2 linked regions of the Diceros bicornis minor genome follow. The protein of the gene in region 2 interacts with the protein of the main gene of each other region in a biochemical or structural test. Links are inferred from orthologs where the notes say so. Each region holds a gene or a part of one and is shown on either strand. Other genes may lie near its edges.

Region 1 (15,991 bases), on a different chromosome or scaffold from region 2:
GAGAAAAAACAGAAAGTCACATCACCAGCAAGACCTTAAATCTAGAGAGTGGCTCAGAGCAAAGAGATCAACAGCTAGATTGCCAAAAAGTATTGAGAACCGGGGTCAGTAGCTGTAATCTAGTAGGGGAAATCTGATAGCAGAAGGAAGGGGAGAGAGAGAGACAGAGACAGAGACAGAGACAGAGACAGAGACAGAGGAGAGAGGGGAGAAGAGACTGTATTTAAGACTGAACGGGTGGTCCTAAGGGAAGAAATTTTCAAGATAGTTTTCTGTGAGCTTTTTAAGAAATACATGAACTGATTAATATGTGAAATCTATTAATCTTGGATTAATCATAAGTCATTACATTAATAATTCCAATTTTGGTGGAAGTTTCTTATCTTTGAACAAAATCAGGGGCTGACCCGGTGGCACAAGCGGTTGGGTGCGCGCGCTCCGCTGCGGCCGCCTGGGGTTCGCCGGTTCGGATCCTGGGCTCGCACGGACGCACCGCTTGACGAGACATGCTATGGTGGCGTCCCATATAAAGTGGAGGAAGATGGGCACGGATGTTAGCCCAGGGCCAGTCTTCCTCAGCAAAAAGAGGGGGACTGGCAGATGTTAGCTCAGGGCTGCTCTTCCTCACACACACACACAAAAAAATAGTAATAAAAATAAATAAATAAATAAATAAAATAAATAAAATAAAATTGAACAAAATCATTTTTAACTGGAAAACATTCTTTTCCAGCTGTAAAGAAAGCAGATACATGTGGGCCTTCCAGGGCCTGGTATGTACTAGGAGCTCAAATTTGGTAGGACTGGGCTGATCAATTTACATAACCCAGTATTGTAATTTTCTCATGCTGAGCTGGTTAACACCACTTATTTTTTGCTGCAAACTTTTAAAAAATTTTTTATATCTTAAGTAGTTAATTGTTTGTTAAGGAGAAATAAGGCAGACTGTGCCCTGGTCAAATGGTTTAGTAAAGATTAAGTAAATACATTTGAATATCTGTTGTTTATTTATTAAATTAGAATTATCATCTTCTCAATACAAAATAATGAAAATGGCTCCCAAATATCCACGATTGACTTGTTGAATTGGTTCCCTCTCAATAACTTCACAAGTATTTTCTTCAATTAGAACTGGATCAGTGCATCATTTAATTTTTTTAATATAGTTATAAAATTAATTTAAAAAATATTTTAAATGCTTCACTTCTTTAGACAATACCCACAGGGGCACAAGTTGACTCTACCTATTTGAGATGCAAAAATTATTATGTAAATTATATTAATCAAAATGGTTATCTAATGGGCAAAAGTGGCTTATATTATTCTCCCAGCTAATGATTCAAGTCATTCCTTACATCCATTTAATTTAGATACATAGAATCGCAAAATTTTGAGGTGGAAAAAGGCTTCATGATAACATCTGGTCCAGCCCCACGCCTTCAGGCTCCGACTTCACAGGTGAAGCAGCCATGGCCACGAGCTAAACATACTCTGAACTGTTGTGAAATCTTTTTCTATACAATTTCTGGAAATTAAGTTAAGAATCAATATAAGAAAGCTTTCTAAATTCACAAGAAAAAGACAATACAAATATACCAGCATCTGCCAAATTTGAGAGTCTACCATTTGGGAAGTATCATGCTAGGTAGGCATCTTGGTTTAGCACAAGGAGAAGGAACAAATTATGTGGTAGGAGTGACAGGGAGCATCACATAAAGTGATAAATACAGTATCTTTATTGCCAAAGTGGATGTTGAATACTAACCTTAATGTAGTAATTTGTTCCAGCAACCACTTGAGTTTTATACTCCACGGCTTTAAATTCTTCATAAGTCCGATTTGTTTTTGCTTCAAGCTGTGATTTAACCTTAAGAGAAAAGAGGAAACAAATTATCAAAGCTATATTGGACTCCATCTATGTGATTACAAATATGGGAACCTCATGTTCCTAAAAGTCCTCAAAGATGATAATGAGATCTATGACCTATTTTCAATATTTATAGAAAGACACGTATCTTTAATAAGATTACATGGGCAAGGGCTAAAAACTGGGAGGATTGATGCAAGATCTGTATGAGGAGAAGCAAGACTGCCCCCAGATCCTTCCCTCTCACTAGCCTCTCCCTTGGAAGACAAGTTATTACCTGTCCTCCACCCTGGCAGAAGGCTGGAGCTTTACTCTTAGGAGAAATTGAGTCAGAGAGGACATAATTCCTGAAGGCAGGAATGAAGGACATTGGAGGCCCCATGCCTCACTCCCGTCTACATAAGTTTCTGGTGTTGCTAGTGCCTGTGCCATTTTGGAGTTCCGCAGCATGAATCTGCTTGCTTCTGGCTCAGACATTCTGTTCTGTAGCTTAGGCTCTGTCTAGATGGCTCAGTTATATTCCATTGTTTTTCTGTTTTCCATCTTCCAAAGTTTTGTCGCTATCTCTTTGTCAAAGTGGTGTTTGCCTATATCTTGTTGTCTTTATATTTGTGGGTTTGTGCCCTTTCCCTCCCAATCCTTTCCTATCATTTAGAGGGAAAGGGAATTACATTTGTGTATTTGATATACCTTTTTTATTGGGAAGTTGCTTCCCTGCCCTTCGCTGAAGCATTTTATGTGCCTATACAGCTTCAGTCAGGCCTCCAGTGCATCTAGGGTTGTCCCGAGGCCACCCAGTCCTTCCCATCTGTGGACAGACATTTTGAATCCTTTTCTATTGGGACCTCGGTTTGGGTACCAGAACTGTTTTCAAAGACGTAGACATTTGCAAACTCTTTGAGTTCTCAGACCACTTTCGAGGACCAAATACTTCATGGACCACCACCTATTTCTCCTGTAACCTTCAGAATAGATGGAAAGAATGTGATTGCTCTCTTGAGATGGAAAATGAAGCTCGAAGTTGGAGAAAGGAAGGAGATAAATAGTGAGAAAAAAACCAGAAATGGGAAGAGATAGGGTGCAGGAGAGAGAGGAGAAAACTGGACAAAGGTGCAGAGAGAAGTTGAGTAAGAAAAGGAGTTACTGACTTATTGCTCCCCTGTCCTAAGCCTTTTGAGCGAACACTGGGTACCAGTCGAGTTAGGACCTGAGTTGGAAAGGATTACTCTCTACACTAAACCCAAAATCCTCTAATTAAACCTCATTTTACAAATGAGGAACCTGAGGCTGTGAGGAGAACATGACTACATAATGCTGAAAAATTATTAAATATAGTTATTTAAAGCTTAAAATCCCTTGCCTGATAACTTAAGTATCTGATTTATCTGTTGCAATTATCTGTATTTCTTCTGGTTTCCATCTTTTGGTCATGTTTCTACCATGTATCAAAGTTTTTATTTCTATCTGTCCTACAAATTAATCCAAATCTGTAACCTTTCCATTGTATGTATGCAATTCACAAGTCCAGAATTTTCATGAGAGAGTTGATTTCAAAGGTCCTGGTTTGTTTCTGTAAGTGCACTGGCACCTGTCAGACTGTGCACCCTGATTTCGGGTTCACTGTACTCAACCTGTAGCTTTGCTCCCCCTTCCCAGTAAAGCAGATTTGTATTGTTCGAATGTTGGGTGCTATGAACCTGGGGTGATGAGACTTAAGCTGAAGAGCTGGAAAAGGGGCAGAGTAGAAAGGAGTGGGTTAGTGAAACCTTAAGTTTCAGAAGGCAGCTTGGTGCTGAAAGACCCCCCAGAATGGGCGGTAGGAGGGTGCAGGCCAGTGGGAGTGGTGGTCTGGAGCCTGGTGGTAAAGAGACAGACCTTGAGCTGAACACAGTTGGCCTTCACCTTCCGCACCTGCCATGCGTGGTGGTGGCTGAGGTGCTGGAGAGAACAATGTGGGCTTGTCAGTTGGGCCCCGCCAGGGGAAGGATGCTACAAGGGAGGAGCAACTGGTAAAGTACATTCACTCCAGAGCTGTTCAAGCATTTCTTATTGCTGCAGAGCATGAATCTTGGTGAGATGTTAGTTCTCTGGGATCTGAGGATTTGAGCCACGCTGTAGCCAATCATTCCGCAGAAACATTTGGACTATGCATAATTTAGGAAAGAATGGACAGAAAGATAATGGTGTTATCATGAATAGGCCATATTTTGGGAAGTTTTACAGAGTGAGGAAGGAGAGTTTGGGTAGTACATGAAAGTATAGTGGGGCTGGTGAGAGGTGACTTGTGGACATTTGTTGTCTGAGTATGTTTTGAGGAAAGGGGGAAGTATGGGGCAAGACACCCAGTATGCAAGAAATGATGGCACCTGGCATAAGAGAGGAAGGGCTGGTTTAAGAAAGGAAGAGAGAGTCTTAGATTAGAGGGAGGGAGGAATGAGATTCGCAGAGGATAAGTAAATCGGGGTGTTCTCGCACCAGATGACTGTGATTTTCTAAGAGAAGGAACTGAGACACTGGCCGGAGGGGCCTTGTGGATGGGAGGGATTGAGAAACTAAGGAGAGAGAAGGTCCAGATCCACCTCTGTGAGGTTTCTAGAAAAGGACCAACAGGACATGACTGAAAGGATGTTCTGGCAGCCTTGTTGGGTGTTCCTGTTGAGGTTGCTCTCTGGCATGAATTCACAGATTTGTAATGGGTGAGTTTTCTAGGGTTCTGCATCTTCCTTGAGCAAAGTGCTCTGAACCTGGAGCAGAAGCTGAGGAGGATGTGGTGGCAGTGGGAGTGATCTCTAGTTGAGGATCAGAATGCCAGAACCTCACAGGATCATGGAAATCAGTGTCGGAGGAGTGTATGAAACCACCCATCATGGGGTCCGGGCTGGATGAGTGAACGAGTGGGCCTACGCATGTTCTGATGATGATGGGAGGGTGAGTGCCTGAAGGATTCTGGTGTGGCTGAAGGTCAGGTTCTTTGGGTGTGTGGCAGTGGAAGAGGTGACTGATGAGGAGGCTGTGGTCAGAGAGAACACAAATTTGTGGGTGAGTGAGAGCCGTGACACGCTAAGCCCCAGGGTGTGTCCCTGATGGTATGTAGATGAGGTGTTTGCATGATATCCTGGCAGACAAAAGTCATGATCTGTGTGTATGCCAGGAACAGTACTCAGCAATCAGGTTTGACTTAGAGGAGTGTGTGTGTGTGTGTGTGTGTGTGTGTGTGTGTTTTGTGTGTATGCATCTACGCATGTATAATAATAGCCCTTATTTCCAAAAATAACTATTGAAATAACATTTTTTTCCTACACATAAACATACTCAGAATTCTCATCCAATGGTTTTTTACATATGATATAAGATAGTGGATCAGCAATAATGATCCAGAGGCTTTTGCTGGTAGGGCCATTCATTTGGTCCTTGATTATACGTATCATGGCTTCTCATGGATAGGGCCATGTGTGGCTCTTTATTTCCTTGTGTGTATCTCTTATTTCCAATCTGTTTTGTAAATTTCCCTGAGGGCAGGGACCACCTTTTTGTCCCTTCTCTCCCTATAGCAATTCACAAAGTACTGTGTACACAATCAACATTTTCCTCTCTTTCTCCTCTCATCCAACATCCCTCTTTCATTTTGATGTCAAATTCTTTGAGCCTGTAGTTTTCATTTTGCTTGATACTTTCCCTCTCCAGGTGCCGAACATCCCCCTCCTGTCCCTCCCTCTCTAATCGGCTTATCCCTTCAGTTGGCATTCCACTAAGAAGCTTCCTGATGAGGATGGGGAAAGCTGATCTTCTCCAAGAAAAAAAAGCCTCCAAGGTATTTATTTTTTAAAAGAACTCTTGAAAGAGAAATATTTAGGCCCAAAGAATGAGTGGTAGAATTCTAGGCATCTGAGCTCTTAGAGAGCTTACAAGTGCCCTGACATAGAGGATCCCATCTCTCCACTTCCACAAGAAGCTGACCCTGTTTGCAAAATAGTGTTATATAATGAAGTTTCAAAGAGAAAAAACAAGAAGGAATCATACAAGAAAATAGGGCAATTTACAAACCTAAAAAGGTAATTTATATATGTTTTCTTTTCATAAAATATGCAATACAATAAATTTTTATTATATAAGTTATAGCTAATCAAACAACACGTAGAAAAATGTATCAACTTGCTAAAAACATTAAGAGTTCTATTTTCACCATAATCAATTTTGGAATCACCGTAGACTATGCCACTTCTCTACTGGTTAAATCATCTTCTAACTATTAAAAGATGAAAACATTGTTTATTTAGTCAAATTTGTAGGAAGTTTGTAAATGGATTGCCTTTATGATATTGTTCTTCATTCAACCCATTAAAAAAAATTTCCCTGCAGTGCCTTTGAAGTCTAGTTCCTCAAATCTTTAACAACCTCAGACTTTAATTATATGTTGGCTCTACTTGGTGAGATTAGAAAAGTTTCATCAGAAACTGAATTAGTAATCCTAGAATCATACATTGTAAGAGCTTTAGAGATGATCCAATACAAAATCTTCTTTTACAAGTCGGGAAACTGAGGCTCAGAGAAGGGATGTGACTTGCTCAAGATCACTCTCACAGTTGGGATTATTAGAAGTTTCCTCTGAAAAAAGTTTTAGTTGTAAGGAAGTCTAAGCAAAACCACACATTTCCCAATGTTCTGGTTTTCATGTTCACCCACCACACCTAACATGGGGCCAACCTAGGAACCAAGATTTTGAATTAAACTTTTTCATGAGATAAATCAACTCACCTCATTAGCAATCTCCTGGATATGTGGAGTGGCAGGTCTGGCTTCAGTTAAGCCTCCAGGCATCATTTTGCCTAATTGCTTCTTTGCTGGGCAGGATGCTGGAACAGAAATGGTCAGGCAAGAGTTGAGACTCCGGTTTTTAAAGAGGGTGTTGCTCATAAGCTCCGCCTACAGAATGTTTTATTTTCCACAAAAAGCAAAAAAGGCACAAGGAAAATGAATATGACTTGAGGCAAGTTTTCTTGCTTCCTCAACAGAATGTGCTAATAGGGCTTTGGAAGAATGAGGAGCTTGGGATGAATAAATGGGGGTACACAAGGAGTCATGCTGTAACAGGAGTCAAACTTTCCTGCATTCTCTTTGACAATGGTTCTACCCTGTTGCGTCTGAAGTATGAAATCTGAAGCCACACCCAGAGTTTCCCAATGTTGTAAAACCTCTAACACAAAACTTTATTTTTTTAAAGGATATTTATTAATAATGTCAAGGCTGATTTTTTAGAATTTACTTGGCTTTATAAAGAAAGTAAAAGGATCTATCTGGAGAACTTTGGCTGGAAATTTGTATTTTACTTTTATTTATACTTCTAGAACTGTTTAAAATACAGAAAAAAACAAAGAATAAAACAACAAATGCCTATACGTGTTCCTATCACCCAGAATCAAAATTTTTAGCATTTTGTCATATTTGTTTCCTATCTTTTTTTTTGTAGTTGTTTTTAAGAAATAAAATATTACAGCCCCCCACCCCCAACCTTGCCCTCCACAGAGATAAACTACGTTGAGAGTTTGGTATCCTTCTAGTCCATTTTTATACTCTTACTTAGTGTGTTTCTAAAAATCTACTTAAATTGTACGTTAAACACATATTCTATATTAGGATTTTTTTCTACTCAACATGTTTTTGAGTCATTCCATGTTGGTACACAGATCAGTTTAGTTCATGTCCTTTAACTGCTATTCTTTGATAGATCTGTCTGTCTGTCTGTCTGTCTGTCTATCTATCCATCTATCTATCTATCATCTATCTATTCTATCTCACTGCTATATGCGATTCCATATTTTACATACTTATTCCGCTAGTGATGAAGATTTTGTTGTTTCTAGTTTTTCACCCTTATAAACAATATTGCATTTCTTTCCTTTTGTACATGTGTGAGGGCTTCTACAGGCAAATTATCTAGAGGAAAATTGCTGTTTTGTGTGAATATTTATTTGTATTATTTTATTCAATTTTTGGAATATGTAACACATACACATGATAAAAATGTTCAAAAGGAACAAAAGAGTTTACAATAGAAGTAATTCTTCGCTCACTCTATTCCTCAGCCACCCTTCTACTCTCCAGAGGCAGCTACTATCCCCAGCTTCTTGTACCCTTCAGAGATAGTCTTTACACATACAAATAGATAATTAACTACACACATACATACATATACATGTACACACACTTTTCTCTTATAAATGGTGCAAATGGTAGCCTACAACATAAACTTTTAGACACTTTGCTTTACCCCTAACAATATATTTTGGAGATTATTCTATTTTATTACATAGAGAGGTGTTTCATCCTTTATAATGTTTGGCAGGTACTTGACAAATTCTTGGAGATAGGCAGATATCTTACTGGATAATCTAAGGGGTGCTTTGCAGATAGCTCTCCGTGGAATGGCTTCACTCATGTATTGAGAAGAATAGCAAATGTGCATGACATGGTGCTCACTCAAGAGGTCACAAGTCATCTTAAGACTTTGGCTCAGCTCTGGCCACAGATAACCCTTGACATCTTCCTGTAACATTCCCAAGTCAGGTCCTCTCATATCCAAGCCTCCAGCTTTTTTTCAGGGCTGCAGTCCATTTCTACCTCTCTGTTCACCAAATATTCCAGGTGATCCTTGTGTAATCTCCCTGAGGTCAGGCATACGGTGAGCAGCATATCTTCCATTCTCTTTCTAGAGCCTATATACCATGTTACTCTCAGGTATTCCTTCTTGATTCTCAATAATTTCTTTTAGAAGAAAAAACTGCCCAAAAGCAAATATTGCTTCTGTCTTTGCATTTCTACTATCATATCCTAGTTCTTCTCAGGGTAGTATGGAGGCCTCTGACTGACAGAGGAGGAGTCTTGTACAAGTAAGTACAGAAAAGAAAAGCACAACAATTAATATCTCTATGTTAATTACTTAAACACACAATTAAATGCATAATTATTTTTAAATAACTTTAAGATTGCTGTACTGGATGTTGTGGAGGGTTTTTTTGGTTTTAATTATTCAGGCTATTTTTATGGAACTGGACATTCTCATATGTTTTATATATCTTGTCTGTGAGCTCATCTTCCAAAGGGAAATATCTTTTATGGAAGATTTCCTCTGTGGGGGCTGGGTTATGGGCTTCCCTATGGGGGGGTTTGCCTCAACTGGACACTACAGGGTGCACAGGCCCCAAACTAGGTCTTGTTTTACTGTTGGCTTAGGGCTCTTGAATCATGAAGATACTCAGAATTTGGGTTTATATTCAGCTTTTGGTACGCCTGGGGCTCTGGACATCTCCAGCTAACTGTGCTCCCACCCATGGCTGGGGTAAATGTATGATATGCTCATTTACTATATATCCCATCATTGCCATTCCTAAGTATTTACCCAAGAGAAGTGAAAACATCTGTCCACACAAGGACTTGTGTACAAATGTTCATAGGTGCATTATTCATGTTAGCCCCAAACTGAAATGACCCAAACGTCAACTGGTGAATAGATTAAAAAAATTGTATATCTGTATTATAGAGTACTACTCAACAATAAAAAAGAACAAAATAACAATACATACAATAACATAGGTAAAACTCAAAAACAAGTCAAAGTGAAAAAGAAGGCAACTAAGAGAAGTCAAACACAAAAGACTATGTATTAAATTATTCCACTTACAGGAAACCCTAGTAGAGGCAAAATCAGAGTGATGAAAAGCAGACCAGAGGTTGCCTGGGGTTGGGAGTGGGAGAAAGGATCGACTGCAAAGGGGCATGAGGAACCGTTTTACAGTGATGGAACTGTTCTACATCTGGATTGTGGTAGTGGTTACTAATGGTATACAATTACCAAAATTCATCAAACTGTACACTTAAAATGGGTGGAGTTTATTGCATGTAACTTACCCCCAAAAAATCTGGGAAAAAAGGAATACCTGTTAAACACCTTTATGTGTCTCTTGGTCTTGCTTTTATACTGCTTCCTGTACCGTTTTTCATTAGCGTTTTTTAACTACCACTGCATCAACATATTGTCTTAAAAACAGTTGTTGGGCCGGCCCTGTGGCTTGGTGGTTAAGTGCGCGCGCTGCGATGCTGGCGGCCCGGTTCGGATCCCGGGTGCGCATTGAGGCACCACTTCTCCATCCATCCTGAGGCCGAGTCCCACATACAGCAACTAGAAGGGTGTGCAGCTATGACATACAACTATCTACTGGGGCTTTGGGGGGGAAAAACAAAAATAAATAAAATCTTTAAAAAAAAAAACAGTTGTAAATGTCCCATCTGAAGTGTGTGTTCAAAGGGATGGCAAAGTTACTCCTCCCGGCTGTCCTCATGGTGAGGGGAAAGTAGGAGGTAAGGTTGGTTGAGGACAAACCATGAAAAGCAGGTGAAAGATTGTAAACTTTAGTTGTTAGGTAATAGAGGCCACTAAAAATTTTGAGCTGTACAGAAACCATTTGTACTTTAGGAAGATAAAACTGGAAGCAATGTGTAGGGTGGATTGGATGAAAGGATCCTGGAGACAGAAAGATTGATTAGGAAGTTATCACAATGGAACAACGAAAAGTTAATTCTGATCCAATGTGGGAAATGGACTGGAGAGAAATGGGACCATACGACAATTTATAAAAGTAATATTAGGCGGGAGAGAGGACACAGAAAAGGGAGTCAGGTGGCTGATGGAGGTGTTTTGTTTGGATGACCAGAAAGATAATTGTACTATTAATAGAATTTGGGAATACAGGAGGAAGAGCATGTTAAACAAGTTGGCCCATATTGAAAATATAAAGATATAACTGGGTAAAGAAATCCATTTCTCTCCCTTTTCCTGGCAAATAGTGGGGAGAATGAAGACTTTAGCAAGAGAGTTTAATCAAGGCCTTACTAAGGTAATGTGGAAATCAGAAATAATGGGCCTTGATGTTTCAGTGGGCTTAGTTATAGAAGTTTAATTTTAATCATATTTCATAAAAAGTCTTATGAAATAAATGCTAGACTGGTCATTACCATTTCAGATGAGGAAGATGAGAAGGCTGGAGAACATTAACAAACCAATGATTGTTGAGGCACACAATATAAAGCAATGCTGGGTAGATGAAGGTCTTGCTTAATTTTAATCTATTCCATCTTAGTATGTCATTAATAATTTAAATTTCTGTCTTGTTGCTTTACTAAGAAGCACAAGAATCTCTCCCGTGATACTCAAGTGTTAGCTACTATAAAATACAATTTTTTAAAAATGTGGTTGAGGGCAGAATCTTTTTGTATGACACAATTCTCTATCTCTTTCTGAGAAGAAATTAGCTTTGTTGATAAAATACTTAAGCAATTTCTGACAAATTTTAATACGATTAAGACTTGTTCTGGGAACCTACTTTCTTATAATAAGCTTGATTAACTTGAACTTCTTAAATTTCCTCACAGGCTATGGATGCAGTAAATTATTACTGTTCCAATAAAATGTTTAGAATTATAAAAATGAAAAATTATATGTTCAACTAAATGGAAATATAATAACTGCTATCATAAAATGGTTTGTTCTGTAAAGTTTTTTGCTACAAATCCTAAGAATTTAGTTATCTCCTTTACAATAACTCTTCAACAAACTTTCAATATCAGCTTTTGTTTCTCTGTAGTTTGTCATACAAGGAAGAGAATCAATAAAGTAGAGTAAGATCAAAGGCACAGTTTTTCCTGAGATTGGCAGGGGAAGGAGAGGGGGAAGAGAATATGAAATATTAAAAATAAAAATCGGTTGCACAACAATGGGATGTACTTAATACCACTGAACTACACACTTGTAAATGGTTAAAATGATACTTTTTTTTTTAATAATTTTTATTTTTATTTTATTTTTTTTTGTGAGGGAGATCAGCCCTGAGCTAACATCCGTGCTAATCCTCCTCTTTTTGCTGAGGAAGACCGGCTCTGAGCTAACATCCATGGCCAATCCTCCTCCTTTTTTTCCCCAAAGCCCCAGTAGACAGTTGTATGTCATAGCTGCGCATCCTTCTAGTTGCTGTATGTGGGACGTGGCCTCAGCATGACCGGAGAAGCGGTGCGTCAGTGCGCGCCTGGGATCCTAACCCGGGCTGCCAGGAGCGGAGTGCGCGCACTTAACCGCTAAGCCACGGGGCCGGCCCCTAAAATGATACATTTTATGTTATGTATGTTTTATCACAATAAAAAAATAAAAATAAAAATCATGGAGGACCACAATGGGGAGAGGCAGGAGGTTAGGATAGGAAGCTTTGTATTCAGGAAGCTGCTGGAATGAATTAGGTCTGAGGTCATTGAGATTTGGGTCAGAAGCAGTGGCTTTGGCTATGAATCATTTTCTGTGTTTGGTCATAACTGTAGTGTAGGCATCACCCTGCATTGTAATTGTGGCCTCCTCCCTGAGCCTCCTGCCTTCCAATAAAGGGCACTGCCACCACCCAGCTGCTCAGTCCAGAAGCCATGAAGTCACGTTTTATTTCCTTATCTCCAAATCCAAGCCATCAGAAGATTCTGCCCAAAAAATTTCTGCACAAAAAATACTATGTGCTGTTTGTTCTCCATACAATAATCAGAGTGATCTTTTGTAAACACAAATTAGATGATGTTACTCCTCTGGATCAATTCCTTTAATATCTTCCCACTAAATTAAAGAAAAAGTAATCCAAACCCCTTACTATGGACTCTGAGGCCTTGCATAATTCCATCTTTGCCTAACTGTCCAACCTCATCTCATGACACTTTTCCCCCTTCATGCTCTCCAGATGCACTAGCCTCATTCGGTTCCCAGAGCACGCGAGGCTTTTCTTCACCTCAACCTCTGGACACTTGACGTTTTGCCAGCTAGGAATGCTCTCTCTCAGGTTCTTCAGAAAGTTTTCTCTATCACATCCCAGCGGAAACATCATGTTCTAACAGAGGCCTTCTCCCACCTCCCACTAGTCCTTCTTATGTCATCTTCTTTGTTAATAGCACTATTCACAGTCTGTGCATGTTTTGATTATTTTTGTATTCTCTGTTGCCTGGAATAACTGCTATATTCCCAGATCCCAGAGCCTAGAACAGTGCGTGGCAGATAGTAGGCATTCAATAAATGTCTATTGAACGAATAAATAATTGCCTTTTTACTTGTCTTTCTCCACCATTAGAGTGTAAGTCTGTGTGGGGGCAGGAGCCCTGGCTGTCTTTTTCCTTGTTGATATCCTGGTTGCTAGCAGAAGGCCCCGTACACAGTAAATGCTCAATATAAATTTGTTGAATAAATGCATGCATTCAAGCTCTCTATCTGGATTGGATTATGGGTCTATCCAACAGACCTTTATCTAATATAAATGGCAGATGTCTCAGGGTCCCCCTGGGAGAGGACGGCAATAGAGCAAAGAAGCAGAGAAACTGGGCTGTGTTACTCCATCCCTTTTTCTATTGGAGCAACTCTTGTTTGTCTTATAAACTATGGTTCTATACAAAAATTAGTTAGGAGGTCTGTAGCCCTTCCGTTTTTTTTGTTTTTATATAACCACTGAGTCAAACTAAGCCCTTCCTTTTATACACGAGGATACTGAGGCCAAGAGAGACAAAGTGTTTTGCTCAAGGTCACACACCAGTGAGTGACAGAGCTGGGCTGGAGTTCAGGTCAACTGACTCCTGCAGTGCTCTCTCGACTGGATCTCCTCATCTCCTATGGTACTCTCTGTCCTGTCCTGAGGGTGATTGGCAAAGACCTGTAACCTTGGGATGAGGGCTGAGAAAAAGGTCTTGGTTTTGTGTGTGCTCTGTGAAGGTAGAAGGGCAGTTATCCTCCTGGAGTGATTGTTGGGCATAGATAGATCCCATCGGACTCAAACCACCTCTTTGTCAGTCAACCAGCACTAGAGGTTGGCCACCTCCTGAGACAGATCTCTGAGCTACTGCTGCCCCAGCTGATTCGCAGGAGCTCAGTGGGAAGCTCCAAGGTACACACATGAGCCAAGGTGAGTACATCCGGGTTGTAACAGATCAGTTAGTGTGGTGATTATAGCTCCATAGATAGGTTCCTGCTTGTGAATTGCAAGATAAGAGGATGACCATCAGCTCTGTTTGTTCTAGCTTACTCATGGAACGGATGCATATGTTCAAAACAGGTTGTCCTCAACTGGTGACAAAGTTTGCTTATAAGTCAGTTGTGTGGAATTTGGCATTTTCCTCAGAAATGCCATCTGCATGGTGACCTCTAGGCTGGCTAGTCAAACCCATTTAACCTACAATGAGTCTGCCTTGTGCAGAGAAATTTCATCATTGAGTAAATACATTGTTATTGATTGTTGTCCCCACTATGTTCCAGATGGATCTCATAGTTCAGAGAGGAAGATGAAGAAGTGAAAAGTTCCTATAATTATAGTGCAGAAATGCCTTAACTGGGACTAACCCCCCCTGGAGAGCTGGGGAAGGTACTTGAGACGAGATGCTTGAGCAGGACCTTGGAGGATGACTGGAGCTGGCTTCCAGCTGTTCTGAGTTTCTCTAAGTGTTATTTAAAAAAAGATTTTTTTTCATTAACAGCTTTACTGAGGTACAATTGACTTACAATCACTTCTGTATATTTAAAATGTTCAGTTAGATAACTTTTTTTTTTTTTAGAAATACACACAACCATCAGATTCCTGTCTCTATAGACTCCACAGGTGAAGACAAAGAATATACATGTGTATACATATATAGTTTTTGAGGAATATTGGCCCTGAGCTAACATGTATTGCCAATCTTCCTCTTCTTTTTTCTCCCCAAAGCCCCAGCACATAGTTGTACATCCTAGTTGTAGGTCCTTCTAGTTCTTCTATGTGGGACGCCACCTCAGCGTGGCTTGATGAGGGGTGAGTAGGTCTGCGCCCAGGATCCAAACCAGCAAACCACAGGCTGCTGAAGCAGAATGTGCAAACTTAACTGCTATGCCACCAGGCTGGCCCCTCAATTTGATAACTTCTGACATATATATGTACATACACACATATATACCACAATCATTACTGATAGTTTCCTTGTACCCCTTTGTAACCCTCCCTCATGCCTCCCCACATTGCCCATCCCCAAGCCACCACTAATCTACTGTCTGTCACTATAGTTAGTTTGCATTTACTAGAATATTACATAACTCTAGAATGATTTCTTTTACTTGACATAGTTATTTTGAGATTCATTCATGTTGTTGCGTGTATCGATGGATCATTCCTTTAAATTGTTGAGTAGTATTTTATTGAATGGATATACCACAGTTTATCTTTTCACCAGTTGATGAACATTTGGGTTGTTTCCAGTTTTGGCCTATTAAAATAAAGCTGCTATAAACATTGATGAACAAGCCTGTATGGTTTTATTTCTCTTGGGTGAATACCCAAGAGTGGAATGGTTGGATCATGTGGTAGGTGTATGTTTACCTTTTTAAGAAATTTTCAAGCTGTTTTTCAAAGTGGTTATACGATTTAACTTTCCTACCAGTAGTGTACGAGAGTTCCAGTTTCTCTACATCTTTGTCAACACTTGATATAGTTAGTCTTTTTGATTTTAGTGATTCTAATAGGTATGCAGTGGTATCACAATGTGGTTTTATTTTCATTTCTCTAATGACTAGTTTAGTACCTTATTATTGCTTCTTTGCCATGCATGTATCTTCTTTGGTGACAGGTCTATTCAAATATTTTGCCCATTTTTAGAGGGAGATTTGTTTGTTTTCTTACTAGTGAATTTTAAGAGTTCTTTATATATTCTGGATATAAGTCTTTTACCAGATATATGATTTGCAAATATTTTCTCTCAGTATCTTTTGAAGGGCAGACATTTTTAATTTTGATGAGGTTCAACTGATCAATTTGGTTTTTCAAATAGATCATGCTATTGGTATCATATCTAAGAAATCTTTGCCTAACTCAGTGTCATAAAGGTTTTTCCTCTATATTTTCTTGTTAAAGTTTTATAGTTTTAGGTTTTTAAAAATTTGCTAATAAAAAAAGAAACAGACAAGAAGTTGGTTTTTTCCCAACAATTTCTTTCCTCTCTCCCTGCTTCTATTTTTCAATTCAGACTCTAAGTTGGTAAGACAAAATGACAGGTGGGTGCTTCCTCTACATAAATGATAAAAATAAGTTTCTCATA
Region 2 (15,658 bases):
ACAGAGGAGAGAAGCTGATGCCAACTCGCAGGAGGCCTCAAGTCCTGATATCCCTAAGGACATGAAATCAGTTTTGGCTCCCAGCAACTCTTTTTTTTTTTTTTTGTGAGATCAGCCCTGTGCTAACATCTGCCAATCCTCCTCTTTTTTTTGCTGAGGAAGACTAGCCCTGGGCTAACATCCGTGCCCATATTCCTCCACTTTATATGGGACGCCGCCACAGCATGACTTGCCAAGTGGTGCGTCAGTGTGCGCCCAGGATCCGAACCGGCAAACCCCGGGCTGCCGCGGCGGAGCGCATGCACTGAACCGCTTGCGCCACCGGGCCGGCCCCCCAACTCTGATTTTTAAAAAAGCTTTGTTACAAGTTTATACAGCCCTCAGGTAGACTGAATTCTAAATCTGTATTGGATCTAAAGGGACAAGACATATATATGTGAAATTTCCAAATAACCCAGCTGCAATCTTCTGGCTAATACAGAAAAAGATGAATGCAGGTGTGCCGACAGCCCTTCCTCCAGTACCTTGCTCTTCCTTGCCCACTGCTGCTGTCCAATACTGCTGACCTCTCTCACAGCTGGCTCTCAAGACTCAAAAAACTGAGTGGCTACATTTTGTCAATTGCCACAAATTAAGGTTGTGCCTCATATATCAGCAGAGGGGCTCTAGGTAAGGGGAAAGGTGGAAAAGGAGGGTTGTGACGACTCAGTGGGACCTTGCTAGAGAACTTTATAAGTGTCTCTCTCTTCCACAAAGACTTGTCTCTTGCTGTCATTAACAGCAGTTGTTCCTCAAGTTCCGACCATTTCAGTGCACCCACACAACAACGCTGGGCAGTCTCCACTTCCCCTCGACTTCTGTCTGCCCAGCTACACCCCAAGGCTGGGGCAGCACTATGGTGGCTGACATACGTGCCCTGATCTCAGATGTGCCGCGATCAACCTGAAGGAGACCCAAGACCTCTCCTTTTTGAGTCTGAATCACAGCTTTGATGTGGTCTTTCGTGTTTTATGTCTTTGCTTGTAACGGAAACATGTTTAACTGGTTCTTGGCTTATGATCTTTAAATTAAAAAAAGAAAAAACGGCTCCTAGTCATTACTTGTCTCCTGAAAGCTGTGAGGATCAACAGGCACCAGCTGCCTCTCCATCCCCCAGAGCTGGGCTCCCTGCAGCTGAATGCCCCCAAGCAACTGTTATGACCCAGAAAAGGCATCCATTGTAGCTGGCTGCCAGCAGGCTCCAAGGGAACCAGGAGAAACAGTGAGAAGGCCCCACACCTGCCTCACCCACCTAAACCCTTTAGGCCACTCACAGGTACTTCCCCTGCTGCCCACCTGCCAATCATCTGTCCAAAATAAATGACTAATTCCCCCCAGGTTCAGCAAGGCCAGCCTACTCAAGCTACTCTCCCACAGTATCTGGAAACCATGTAGCTACAGTGCCCACAAATGGAACATTACTTAAGATCAGCCACAGCAGCCCACATCCCGCAAACAGAAGAAAACTACTACCTTAGGCTTAAAACAATGGACCCCAGAAAGGCCCTCAGCAGTCGAAATATTTTGTATTGTTGAGAAACAACACAATCTGGGCAAAGTTCTGGAAGCTTGTGCTTACCAGCTTTGTTCATCGCCTCTGAAACTGACTTACTGAGATGCTGAAGGGGGCACTACATCCCCATGTCTCGGTTTCTAAAATGGGCACACTGCCCGGATTCTGAAGGACCCCGGGATGACTTTATAAAAGCTTTTAGAAATCCTTAGAGACTCCAACGAGATTAGTGTTCTGTGCCTCTCCAGCCCGCAGGAACACAGCGGCTCCCTAATTCGATCACAGGCTAGATTACATCTCCCGGCCAGCTGGGGCAGCTGAGACACTGGCAGCCACAAAAGCAAGTAATGGAAAGGTCTCGCCTCTATGGCTTGGCCCCGGTTTCCCCTCCTGGGGCCCCTGGGAAGAGACACTCACCTCACAAGGCTGTTGGGAGATGGAAGGAGATGTTTTTTTTGAAAGTGCCTCCCACGCAGCCTGGCTCAGAGCAGGCAGCCCTTACGCTGAACTGCCACCAGGAAGTCTCTCCCTCACTAGTGTGGTGAGTATACACCGCCCTATGCAGACCAGTTAACTCTTGCTGTCCCGGAGTAATTGTTTTTATTCTCAAAAGTATGCCATTGTGGATAAAAAATCATGATCCCCCTGCTTTTTGCGATAAGCCCTCAAATGATGGTTTATTCTGCTTTCTGCTATCTGGCCCACCAGAACAAAGCACCCTCCAACACTTGTAGGGTTAAGTGGATCGAGAACAGGCAGCAGATGGCTCCCAGCTGATGTCTGACAATGCGTCAATCCTGGAGTGGCTGAAGCCTTGGGCTGGCACCACTTTCCCAGGTCTTGCGCAAGCCTGAAGGCCACATGACTTGTGTGTGCACGCGCACATCCTGCCCAAGTCCAGGTCAGAGGGTCATGGAGAAGCCCAGCCCCTGCTGGGTCTCTTGGCAGAATATCTAGATGTTCTCACAGTGCTCTATACTGAATCAGTTTACTATCTTGGTGGTATCTGTCCCTTTCCCCTCCCCCATCCCTGCTGGCAACTCTAGGTTATCTTGATGACCAGACTAAATGAGTTACTGGCCTGGTAGAGACAGATAACACAGTCAACACTGCAGGCATGCATCCTTCCCAGCACCCAGCATTCATCGAACAGTAATGCTGGAAGAGGACCTTTGGTCTTGTATAAGGCTTTTGTTTTACAGGTGCAGGAATCGGGTGATTGAGAAAAGACCAAGAGCAAACCCTGAATGGTCTACCTGAGCAGGGATGGAGAACTGTCAAGAGGTCAAATTCTAGGAGAAATTCCACCACAATTATCTGAGTGACCCCCATCATGTCACAAACTTGCAGGTGCCTCAGCTTTTTCATCTGTAAAGAGGGAGAGTCAGACTGCCAGGACCCAAAACTCACATGCATTCTGAGAGTTAAAAAATTAGAAAACATTATTTAATTTCAGAGGTCCAGATATCTAGGTTAGGATCTAAAGAAAACTTAGTAAGTTCTCACTGTTCATAAACACATTAAAACCCACAAACACTATCACTCATCAACAACAAAAATAGAAAAGCTCACTAATTAACAATTTCCTAGGGCAAAAAATTAAATTTGAATTCCTAGTCACGAAAATTAAAACAGGGACACCACGTCATGCCCATCAGATTGGCAAAAATTAAAGTCTGGTAATATCTAGTGTTGGTAAAAATTAGGAACAGGAACCCTTAACACCGCCGGGAGTATACATTGGTAAAACCTCATTGGACAGCACTGCCAGTATCTAGCAAATTGCAAGATGCATACACTCTACCATCCAGCACTTTACTTCTGCTTTTGCCCTAGAGAAACTCTTGCAAGTGAGAGATACCAGGATATTTACTGTAGCACTGTGAGCAACAGGGAAAAAGCAAAAGCAACCTAATTTTCCCTCAGTAGATACACTGTGCCTTTAAGATGAATGAACTAGATCTGTATGTATCAATATAAATAACTCTCATAAACACCAGAGGAAAAGGATACATGCAGTATAATTAAGTTACATCAATTTAAATAATATTGTTCCTGGAGTGATACAAAGTATTAGAAGTACCAAAAAACCTGCAGGAGAATTATAAAGAGACAGCAGATAAGAGCTACAATGTCCCTCAGGAAGACTGGGAGCAGGCACAGGAGGGTAAAGGACTTGCAGAGCAAAGAAGCTGAAACCTACAGCCTGCAAAGGGGAGCTGTAACCAAGAGGGAACGCACTCATCCTATGAACCCCACAGAAGCCTGAGACTTGGAGGCCCCGGGAACTGTGGATAGGGGGTGGGGATGAGGTTTAAGGTTAAAAACAGAATTGGTTGATATGTAATGGCATTTGATCCCTTGATCCCCCTCCCTATCCAAACTAGGGTAGAATACGAACAGTATCAATCATGGAAGGACTCAGGATTTCTCTCCTACGCTCCCTCTCTTAGGGGGCTCCTGGAGTGTGCGCTGAGAGAATAAACCAAAAGAGATGATGCTACGGGACCAGGTATAGACTGCTGACTGCTTCTCAACACCCAGTGAGTACTATACACACCTGTATGTGCCTCAACTCAATTCATCAATTTACTGTCGACCCTCTCTCTACACGTGAGGCTGAACCATATGAAACTGCCCCGATTTCGATCCTTCTTGACCCACATAAATTCCCATTTCATATAGTTCAACCTCATATTGCTAATACTTTCCTAGGCTAATCTATCTAAAATTGGCAGCAGACGTTGTGAGTCCTCACTCCAAAATATTTCAGTCCTTCTCTCCCGAGGACAGTGACATTCTACACAACCACAGCTCATTACAACATTTAAGAAGATCACCCAGACATTTCAAGTGTCCCCTGGAAGTGCTCTCCCTTCCCTTCTCAATTCAACTGCCAACAGTAACACAAAATTTCTTTTACCCCTAAAATGTGTGCAGCTTCCTACTCCAACCCCCAGGTCCAGCAGTCAGAGACAGACCCAGTCTACAAGAAGCGCCTCAGCTCAAGCTGCTGAATCAGCAGCACATGAGCAGGTTCATCCTGGAGCCAAAGGGCTTCCAGCCTCACCCCCTGACCAGTCCAGAAACAGGGCTGTCCTGACTCAACATCAGGGCAGTTACTGGAGCCAGGGCTGTGTCTGGCCTGTGTTGCCTCCCCTTGGGGGCTGGGAAGCCCGCAGAGAAGGGATATGCACTTTTCCATTCAGCAGTACCCCTGCTCTGGGACAAATGCCCAAAAAGGTTTGAGCAGAACCTTTCTCCAGGGCACCTTCAACCCTCTCCCTGTGTGGGAAAGCCACACACAGTGGGGACAGCCCAGCCCCCTTCTCTACGAAGCTCAAAGGCTCTAGGTGACCATCACCAGCGCCAACAGGAAACAATTCTCCATTAAAGATGTTATGGAAGAAAAGGAAAGCAGCCTTTACCAAACTAGACACCCTTCTAAGCCTCTTCACCTTATTGTTCTGCATCTGTAATGCATCTCAGCTGCCTTCGCCTCTCCTGAAAGCACTTGAGGACCAGTTTTTCCAAGGTAACAAAAGGTGCTAGGTCTCCCTTTGAACCCAACCACCTCCGCTCCCACCTGGTGTGAGGGTCTCTATGAGTCAGGTAGAAACATGGGAAGCCTGGATTATTGTCCTTCTCCCTGGGCCAGCCTGTTGGTTTCCTCAATGCCTGAGGAAGGGGTTGATGTAGGCCCACTAAGAAGGCAAACCCAATTCACATCTATCTAGACTGCCTGCTGAGCCCCCCAATTCAGTCACCCCACACTTCTCCCTCTCCCAGGCCCCCAGAGTCATTAACTGAGGGAAGAGGTGATACCCCAGGGACTCTGCCCTGTTTTCCTCTCTCCCACACCACCCTGGGCCTGAGGCACTGTCTCCCTTCCATAGCAGTCAAGGAGTAGGGAGTGGCATCCTCCTCCTCCCCCCCCCATACCCCCAGGGGGAAGAGGGCTGAGGCCTCCATGCCTATACATTCTCCTATCCTCTGCTTAATTTCTCCTCCCATCCGTGGATTTCATGTGGGTTCCACCCCACTCCACCCAGTTCCAGGCTCCTGTCTCCTGGGGTACCCGGAATTGGGTGTGGCTGTGTGCAGAAAGTTGCCCAGGAAAACCCTTTACAATAAGAAAACATCTAAAATAGATGCAGGTAGATACCATTATCTTAGCAATTTTGCTGAGGAAACTGAGGTCCGGAAGCTCACCAGGGGCTGAGGAGCCAGATTCTAGCCGACAGTCACCGGGATCCCGGCCAAGCTCTTCCTCGCAGGCTCCTCCCTCCATCTCCCCAGGAAACTCCCCAGCTCCGCCCCGGCCGCCTCCCGCCCGGCCCTGGAGGCCGGCGCAGCCTGGGGTCGCGCTGACCCTGCGCCGGGTCACGAACAAAGCCCTAGGGTGGGGGCCAGCGGGGGCGAGCCTTCCGGCCGCAGTGGGGGCGGGGGTGCCCGGCTGGCTGCGTGAGGGTGGTTTTCTGCGTCTCTCACCACAGGGACTTCTAGGAGTGCGCGGGCTGCCACCCCTGCCAGCCCAGCTGTGCTAGCCCGAGGGTCCCCCCTTCCCGCCAGGCCTGGGGACGCCGCGGGACCGCGCCTGGGCCCGGAGAAAGGCGCAAGGGGCCCCAGTCTCCCCATCCCCGGCCACGGTGACTTTCGCCGCGCTGGCGCTGCGCCCGCGCCCCGGCCCGCCCGCACTCACCGAGCCCCGCCGCCGAGAGCCTGGGCCTGCAGCCTGCGAGTGCGCCCCAGCCGGTGCCCGCGCTGGTGCCCAAGCAGCCGCAGTCGCTTCCCGGCGCGCCCCCGCGCCTATGTACCGCGCCGGCCCCGCCCCGCGCCCGGCTGACTCGTCACGTGAGCGCGCCGAGCCGGCCGCCCGCCCCCACCCTACCGTGCCGCGGCCTCCCCTGCGGGCTCCGCACCCCACCCCCAGCTCCTCGCGCTGCCCCTGCGGACCCTGCACCCCCACTCCAGCCCCACCCCCAGCTCCCGCTGTGGACCCCGCTCCCGCCTCGGCTCCAGGAGATCCCGCTGGGCGCCGGCTCGCCGGCCCGGGAATAGGGGCTCTGAGCCCCGCCGGCCTCTAACCCTGCGGACCGGGGCCTGTGGGGAGCGGAAGGAGCTGAAGGAGGCCCTGTCCACCCAGCCTGGAGAAATTCCCTAGGGCCCGCCGCTGCCCGACGCATTCGGAGCCTGCTGGATCCCTCCTTGGGGGAGGGCATAACTATCCCTCTTTTCATTCATTCAGAAACCACTGCCAGAGGCGGGATTATCAAGACAGCAGGCCTCCCAGAAGAGCCTTAAAAGGCCCTTTTATCCTTAATATTCTGAGAACGTGCCTATAAGATACTGCAGCTGTGTGATAATAGCTAAGTACTAATTTCAGGAGCTGCGTCAGGATTTCTATTGAGGAGAAGGAACTTAGGGGCGGAAATCTGTTTGGAATAGGGTGCCAGGAGGCCTGTCCTGAAGGGGCACGCACAGCAGCAGGCTATTTCACCTGGAGTTCATTTGGCGGAGTGACTGGAGAGGCTGATGGAGATGGTGGGGTAACTCAAGACCTACCCTCCTCCAAGAATACCCAGATGTTTGTAATCCTTATGACAACCTTGCAAGGTAGGTATGATCCCTGTTTTATTCAAGAGGCTGGCATTTTATCTGGTAAGGTCTGGTATTTTACGCCCGTGCTACTGGTAATAAGAAAGCTATAAGTCTGGGCAACTCCAAGAGGCCCTGGCTACAGATCCAAGAGGCATCTGCTGCGTCGTACAGATGCCTGACCATCAGTTGTCACATAGTCCTTGTGCCTGCCAGGGCCCATCAGAGAGCTCTCTGGAGACATGTGATTGCACCTGTTTGGTCCCAATTAAGAATACGGAAGGTGGGCCGGCCCGTGGCTTAGAGGTTAAGTGCGCGCGCACCGCTGTTGGCGGCCTGCGTTCCACCCGGGTGCGCACGAGGCACTGCTTCTCTGGCCATGCTGAGGCCGTGTCCCACGTACAGCAACTAGAAGGATGTGCAGCTGTGACATACAACTATCTACTGGGGCTTTGGGAAAAAAAATAAATAAATAAAATTATAAAAAAAAAAAAAAGAATACAGAAAGAAAGAAGTCTCAGAGTCTGCACAAGGTTACTAAACCCCCAATTGAGTGGCGTTCCCAAGGAACTTAGGACAACAGGAAGGACGAAGAGACTCCAGCCTTGGACTACAGACTGCAAATCAATGTTTTGACATGTCACCTTCTGAATGAATGTCAATCATTTTTGAATTCCATAATGGAGCTAATAAGAGAAGGCACAAATGGAGAGGAAACACATAACCATGATAAATCTCTCTTTTTCTCTCTCATCCTCTCTCTCTCATCTTTATAGCGTGACAGGAGGAGTGCTGAGTGCTTTACACACATTATCCCAATTTTATGGAATTTTGGATTGGTGCCATTATAAAGGTAGAAATCATTTCTGAAATAAAACAAGAGAAAAATAAGTACTACTAGAGTAGAATTAGCCCTTCCTGGGGCATCCAGGAATGCTCCATGGAGAAAGGAACATGCCACATAATTTTACTTATTTTCCTCACCTCCTCTGGATCTTAAGCTCTATGAGGAAAAGGATTTTTGCCTGTGTCATTCCCTGTGCATCCCCAGCACATAGCAGAGTGCCTCGCACATATTCATGTTATGAATGAATACATATTCACTGAGTGAATGCATAAATGAATGAGGTGGGCCTTGAAGGTGAGTAGGGTTTTGGCTTAACCTCCCAGGTTTGGGGGTCAGGGAATAGCCCTCAGAATTTACAGAAGAGCCTTGGCCTGTATGTGCAGAAGCTGTTTGCCTGCTGAGCTTCTGGAAAGGAGGCCTAGGTATATAAGCAAAAGAGATGAAAACATATGTCCTCACAAAAACTTGTACCTGAATGTTCATTGCAGCAGCATTCACAATAACTAAAAGGCGGAACAATCCAATGTCCATCCGCTGATGAATGGATAAACAAAATGTCGTATGCCTGTGTAATAGAATATTATTCATTCATACAAAGGAATGAAATACCGGCACATGCTACAACATGGATAAACCTTGAAAACATTCATGCTACATGAAAGAAGCCAGTCACAAAGGCCACATGTTATATGATTCCATTTATTTATTTATTTTTATTTTTTATTTTATTTTTTTTTGCTGAAAAAGATTTGCCCTGAGCTAACATCTGTGCCAATCTTCCTCTATTTTGTATGTGGGTCACCACCACAGCATGGCCACCGACGAGTGGTGTAGGTCCAAGCCCAGGAACTGAACCTGGGCTGCCAAAGCAGAGTGCAGCAAACTTAACCACTAGCCCCTATGATTGCATTTATATGGAATGTCCAGAATAGGCAAATCTATAGAGACAAAAAGTAGATTAGTGATTGCCTTGGGCTGGAGGGGGAGGGAGGTTGGAGATTTGGGAGGCGATAGCTAAAAGATACAGGATTTCTTTTAGGAATAATAAAAGTGTTCTAAAATTGATTGTGGTGATGATATATATATATGTATATATATCCTGAGAACATACTAAAAACCATTGAATTGTATGCTTTAAATGGGTGAATATTATGGTAAGTCAGTCATGTCACAATAAACCTTTTACCAAAAACAGGAGGGTTGATTAGGGGAGTACTGGAAAAGGCTAAAGTAGAAATGATCCTTTTTTATTTTTCTTTTTTTGGCAGTCCTTTAAAAGTCCCTTTTCTGGGGCCGGCCCGGTGGCGCAAGGGGTTAGGTGTGTGCGCTCTGCTGCGGCGGCCCGGGGTTCACCGGTCCCGATGCTGGGCGTGCACAGACGCACCCCTTGTCAAGCCATGCTGTGGCAGCGTCCCATATAAAGTAGAGGAAGGTGGGCACAAATGTTAGCCCAGGGCCAGTCTTCTCAGCAAAAAAAGAGGAGGATTGGCATCAGATGTTAGCTCAGGGCTGGTCTTCCTCACGAAAAAAAAAAAAAAGAACTCCCTTTTCTGAAGAAATGCCTAACTTGTTTCCCCCTTGTTTGTAAGCCCTTGTAAGTTTGTTTTTCTCTGACCTCTCTCTGCCAGCTTCTAAGTCCCAGGGCCTTAGAGTCTTTGGTGGAGAGATTTTTAGTTGATGGTGTGTTGACTTTCAGTGGGTTCTTTAGTAGTCGACAGAGGAGTCTAATGGTTTTGGCTTTGGCCAGTTCTTCCTCCCAGGTGTTGACCCAACAGAGTGACAGCTGATAAGAGTGATCCTCTATTTTATTGTTGCTGCTTAAACCCATTAGTTCAAGTTTACCTTCAGGCTTAGAATCGCAGGAGCAGACCAACCTTCCTACCCAGCTTGGTGTACAAGGGCAACAGGACAAAGGAAGGGCACAGGCCCCACGCAAAGCTGTGACAACATGGAACCGTTTTCACCATCCCCAAAAGGAACATGACAATATCTAACACGGTAGAACAAGTTAACTTTCTTTTTAAGAATCTATTTGACCAAACAGGAGAAAAGGAGAATGAAAAAGAATAATTATAGATCATCTATTATGTAATATACTCTATTATGTAATACACACCTTTTAAAAAATATTCTCAACAACCCTGTGATGTTGGAAAGTTCCCCCCATTTTACAGATGAAGAAAAAGGGACTCAGAGAAGTCCTAATACATCCTAGGTTAACACAGTTTGTTAGGGGCAGAGCAGCATTTTTAACAGGATCCCGTGAATCCCCAGCCCCAGCCTCTCTCCAGCTTCATCAGGCAATAGGAATGGCTGCAACTCACACACCTTTGGGCCCCAGAGTCTGTGGTGCGATTTTAGGAAGGGACAAAGAGTGGCTTTCTTCTGGCCAAGGTATTTTGTGCTCATTCTTCCTTCAGGCCTTTTATGAGCCCAAGAGCTTGATCTCCTGAGGCCTCTAGCAGGTGGAAGATAGCAAGTGTTTGGAGGAGGATTTCATCCCCCCTTATCCCCTGTCCCAGTTCATCCAAACCTACAGGGCCAGAAGCACCAGACTGTGCTACCATAAACCAGAATCTTCTGAGTTTCCTGGAGGGCTCTGACCAATGGGAAAAAGTTGACAACACTGCTTTGCATGGGGATCTCCTTTCTTAACACCCTATTGTTTCACTAGTCCTAGCCAGGGTACCAAAAAAAAAAAAAGGAAGCAGAAGAACCTGGGTTTGAATCCTAGTTCCACAGTTACTTCACTTTTCCCAGCCTCTAACCAGGTTGTTATGAGAAATAAATTTAAATTAGGTTCTGTTAATACACCAACCACAGTGCCCCTACAGACATGTGCTTAGTGATAACAAAGCTTTTCCCATTTTCTAATGCCTAGAGCCAGATATATAGAAATTTCTGGTCTTATTAAAAACACTGACAACACCAAATGTTAGCAAGGATGTGGAGCAATGGGGGTTCTCGTATATTGTTGGTAGGAGAATTAGAGGGTACAGCCACTTTGTTTTAAGAAACACTCTGGCAATTGTTTTTTTTTTTTTTAAACTAGATATACCCCTTACCCTATGACCCAGCAATTCCATTTTTACGTATTTACCCAAGAGAAAGAAAATATTTGGCCACAAAAAGACTTGTACAAGAATCTTTGTATTAATTTTATTCATAATAGCCAAAACCTGAAACAGACCAGGTGTACATCCATAGGAGGATGGATCAACAAGCCACGGTATATTCAATAATCCTTCCCAAACACAAAAAGGGATCAAATTGCTGTTACACACAACTACAGAATCAGTCTCAAAAACATTATGCTGAGTGAAAGAAATCATACGCAAAAGAGGGCATGCCATATGCCCTCTTTTATTTTTATTTTTTTTGGTGAGGAAGATTAGCCCTGAGCTAACATCCGTTGCCAATCCTCCTCTTTTTGCTGAGGAAGATTGGCCCTGGGCTAACATCTGTACCCATCTTACTCTGCTTTATACGTGGGATGCCGCCACAGCATGACTTGATAAGTGGTGTGTAGGTCCGCGCCCAGGATCTGAACCTGCGAACCCTGGGTCGCCGAAGCAGAGTGTGCAAACTTAGCCACTACGCCACCAGGCCAGCCCCTGATTCTTTTTAAAATGAAGTTCTAGGACAAGCAAAACTATTGTATGGTGGCACAAAAATTATAACAGTGGTTGCCTCTGGGGACAGTGAGGGTGGACATTGACTGAGAAGGCACTTGAGAACTTTCTGGAGTGATGATGATGGTCTATATGTTGATAGGGTTTTGGGTTACACGGGTGTATGTGCTTGTCAATACTCAGGGAAAATACACTTCAGATTTGTGCATTTCATCATTCCAGATAGAGTTTACATCAACAGAAGCCACTGTAAGCAATATTGGATTCTGGTTAATGATATGGATGCTGAAAGAGAAGTTACTGCAGTTTACTCTGAAATGCATTAAGAGGATGGATGGATGGATGGAGGAAGTGAGGGATGCGTAGATGGACAGATGGGCAATAACGCAAATGCAGTAAAATGTTGATGGTAGAATCTGGGTGGTGGGTGAACCAGTATCCATCATAAAATTCACTGTAAAATTCTTCCAGCTTTGTTGTCTTTGAAAATTTTCATAATATCACGTTGGAATAAAAGTTCTGGTCTTATATGAAACAAAAACAAAATATAAATTGAAAACAACTCCACAAAAACTATTCTTCAAAAATGGGCTCAAATATCCTTTTTTTTCTGTGCACACACATTCCTGGTATCTCTTTTTGTGTCCTAACCCTGTTTTTTTTTAAGGACACCAGTCAGATTGGATTGGGGCTCACCCTAAAGTCCTCATTTAATGTAATCACCTCTTTAAAGGCCCAATCTCCAAATTCAGTCACAATCTGAGGTCTTCGGTGTTGGGGCTTCAACACATGAATTTTGGAGGGACATAGTTCAGTCCATAACACTGTCCTAGAGGAGAGGGCTGCTTTGGACTTTCCCAGAAGAGGCAGGCCATTTGGAAACCTCAGATCAAAAACTGATTGGGGACATTCCTGACCATATGTGTCTCAACTCTGTAGTGAGCAGAAAACAATAAGGGAATGAAGACCAGTCATTTTCTCAACAAATGTTAATTGACAGTCTATTGTGGGACAGGGGCTGTGCCTGGTACTGGAAGTTAAAAGGGAACTTTGCTATAAACCATGTTGGACTAGGTTGCCTATATGTTATTTTTTTTTTTTAATTATTTAAATATTTATTTTCCCCCCAAAGCCCCAGTAGACAGTTGTATGTCATGGTTGCACATCCTTCTAGTTGCTGCATGTGGGACACGGCCCCAGCATGGCCAGAGAAGCGGTTCCTCGGTGCGCGCCCGGGATCCGAACCCGGGCCGCCAGCAGCGGAGCGCGCGCACTTAACCGCTAAGCCACGGGGCCGGCCCGCCTATATGTTATTAATCAAAGTAAATTTCCTTGAAGGTAAGTGCAATAGTAAATGAGTTTTCCTATATTCATTTAAAAATTATCTTTGTGTTGTTTCCTGGTTTAGGATTAAGGTAGTATTCATTCAGGTTTTTATAGTGCAAACACATATCTCCATCATTTGTACATATAAGCGTGGTTTGGTTACCTTGCTGATACTTGATGTCTAGAACTAACTTTATACTGTTAAGACACCCTAAATGGTAGTACCTACTTGCTGCCTGTGGCTATAGTCAAGAGAGAGTTCAATAGTCCCTTTAAGAAGGACTCTGGCAGGTGTATTAGTCAGGGTAAGTAATACAAGCTGCTATAATAAACAGGCCTATCCCAACAACAGTTCATCTCTGACTAAAGTTGGAGACCAGTGAGAGTTGGTTGGAGCAACATGCTCCGTTTCATGGTGTCACTGAGGGACTCAGGCTGCTCCCTTCTTGTTGCACTGCCATCTCCTACACATGGACTCTGAGGTCTCTGTCAAAGGGAAGGGAGAGAATGGAGGAAACGCCCATGTCCTTTTCACCTCCCTAGCCTATGAGCGGTATACAGTGCTTTCACATCCATTCCACTGAAGAAAACTCTGGATGTCACAGGGCTGGGAAAAGTGGTTTAGCTGTGTGCCCAGGAAGAACAAATGGTTTAGGTGAGCTCTAGCTGGTCTCTGTCACAAATTCATAATCCTGGTTCTGCCTCTTCCCAGTCGGTGGCCTTGGCCTTATGCAAGTTTGTTAAACTCTCTGGGCTCCTTTTCCTCATCTGTAGAATGGCAGTGATGATGGGGCTGATCTCATAGGAAAGTTACAAGATCAAGGGAGTGTCTTAGTCTGCTTGGGCTGCCATAACAAAACAGGACTTTATTTCTCACAGTCTGGAGGCTGGAAGTCCATGCTCAAGATGCCTGCAGGGTTGGTGCCTGGTGAGGGCTCTCTCCTTGGGTTGAAAATGGCCACCTTCTCACTGTGTCCTCACGTGATCTTTCCTCCATGCCAGCGAGTGGAGAGAGAGGAAGCAAAAGCTCTCTGATGTCTCTTCTTATAAGAGCACTCTCATGGCCTGATCTCAACCTGGTTACTTTCCAGAGGCCTCATCTCCAATTACCATCCCATTGAGAGTTAGGGCTTCAACATATGAAATTTGAGGGGCACAATTCAGCCCATGGCAGGTAGTTAATACATGTAAGATCCTGTGTGCCCAGCACAGAGCAAGCTCAGTAAGCATGAGCTATCATTCAGCCTGCTCCAAATCAAAAGTACTGACAATACATGTGAGCATGTTTGCCCTTGTATGCAGTTCACAATGCATTCTCATCCTCATAACCTTTTCTACTTGGAGCCTCTTAGCAGCCGTGTGAGGTAGGCTTTTTCCAGATGAGAAAACCGAGGAGAGGCTGGGCGGTTTGCCAAGGTCATATGCACTTGAGCAGCTAAGCCTCCTGACTCAGTCCAGTGTTCTTCCTGTCTCTCTTTCTGAGAACACAGTCACCGTCTTTAGCACAATGTGGTCCCCTGGACCCACTCCAGCGGTGCTGAGAAGCTTGCAAAAAGGGTCTGAGTTATAGAGAATTGATGAGTCTACTTCTGGCCGCTACTTGGGGTTTCATGGAATGTTTCAGAGTGTTTTTGTCCTAGATACTAAATTTCCTCTAGGGACAGACCTATTGACTTAGCTTTCCGTGAAAAAGCAGCTCCATGCCCTCAGCAGTGAATATTGAATGTCCAATTGGCAAAGTTATCAGGAGGAATGACAGTAGGGAAGTACCCAATTCAGGATGACAAGAGATTTTCATATGTTGAGATATGGGGTAGCTATTCTGGTTCAAAACTGTTTTGGCTTGAACTGAAGAAGCCTGACTTATGGCCTATCAAACATACATTGTACATCTACTTTAACCATTAAAGTATAGATTGCATTAAAAATTATGTCAAAGTAAAAGAATGTACTCTTTTAAGATAAGAATGCATACTTTTCCTCCTAGGCCCAGCAGTATTGGTACCCAGTATTAGTCCTCCTGAAGATCAGTTCCGTTTCCTGACATCAGGGTCCTGTTGACTGGCTAATTTGCAACTGAATACCTCTTTGAAACTCTGATGAATATGTATCCTGGGCATGTTTAATGTATGTTCTTTGTTCTAAAATAACTATAAAACTCTACTGAAAACCATGCTTATCTGGAATGCTTTCTTCCTTTGTGGAAACTGCCCTCCCAGGTTATAATCCTCAGCTTGGTCCAGTAAAACGAACCTTATCGCTCTTATTTATGGAATGGTTATTGGTTATTTTGAGTCGACAAGGCTTTCTCAATCACTTTTGGCCCAGCCCACCGTCCAAATGGGAGAAAAGTGCCAATCCTCCTCTTTTTTTGCTGGGGAAGACTGGCCCTGGGCTAACATCCATGCCCATCTTTCTCCACTTTATATGGGACACCGCCACAGCATGGCTTGCCAAGCAGTGCGTTGGTGCGTGCCTGGGATCCGAACCGGCAAACCCCGGGCCGCCGCAGCAGAGTGCGCACACCCAACCGCTTGCACCACCGGGCCGGCCCCGGGAGAAAAGTTTTATTACCGCATGCCGGCAGAAATAGTTTTTGTGTATGAGATTCTTTTTGCTAAGGGAAGGTAAAGAGCAAACTGTTCCCATTTAAGTGCATAATCATTGCACTGGCTCACTTTAGATGCCAGTGAATTCAGCCAT

The links.
Region 1: the proteins of CTSB (region 2) and CSTA form a complex in vitro, tested with the Homo sapiens proteins (3 studies listed by BioGRID and IntAct, with this or other methods). The link is inferred for Diceros bicornis minor from reciprocal best matches to the Homo sapiens genes CTSB and CSTA.

The regions. Positions count from the first base shown.
Region 1 is NC_080754.1:23,183,782-23,199,772, reverse strand, and holds the start of CSTA (cystatin-A), read right to left. Parts: upstream 6,753-15,991; 5' UTR 6,689-6,752; coding exon 6,623-6,688; intron 1,868-6,622; coding exon 1,766-1,867; intron 1-1,765. UniProt on the Homo sapiens protein: This is an intracellular thiol proteinase inhibitor. Has an important role in desmosome-mediated cell-cell adhesion in the lower levels of the epidermis.
Region 2 is NC_080750.1:62,362,188-62,377,845, reverse strand, and holds the start of CTSB (cathepsin B), read right to left. Parts: upstream 6,325-15,658; 5' UTR 6,255-6,324; intron 1,989-6,254; exon of another isoform or gene 1,970-1,988; intron 1-1,969. UniProt on the Homo sapiens protein: Thiol protease which is believed to participate in intracellular degradation and turnover of proteins. Cleaves matrix extracellular phosphoglycoprotein MEPE. Involved in the solubilization of cross-linked TG/thyroglobulin in the thyroid follicle lumen.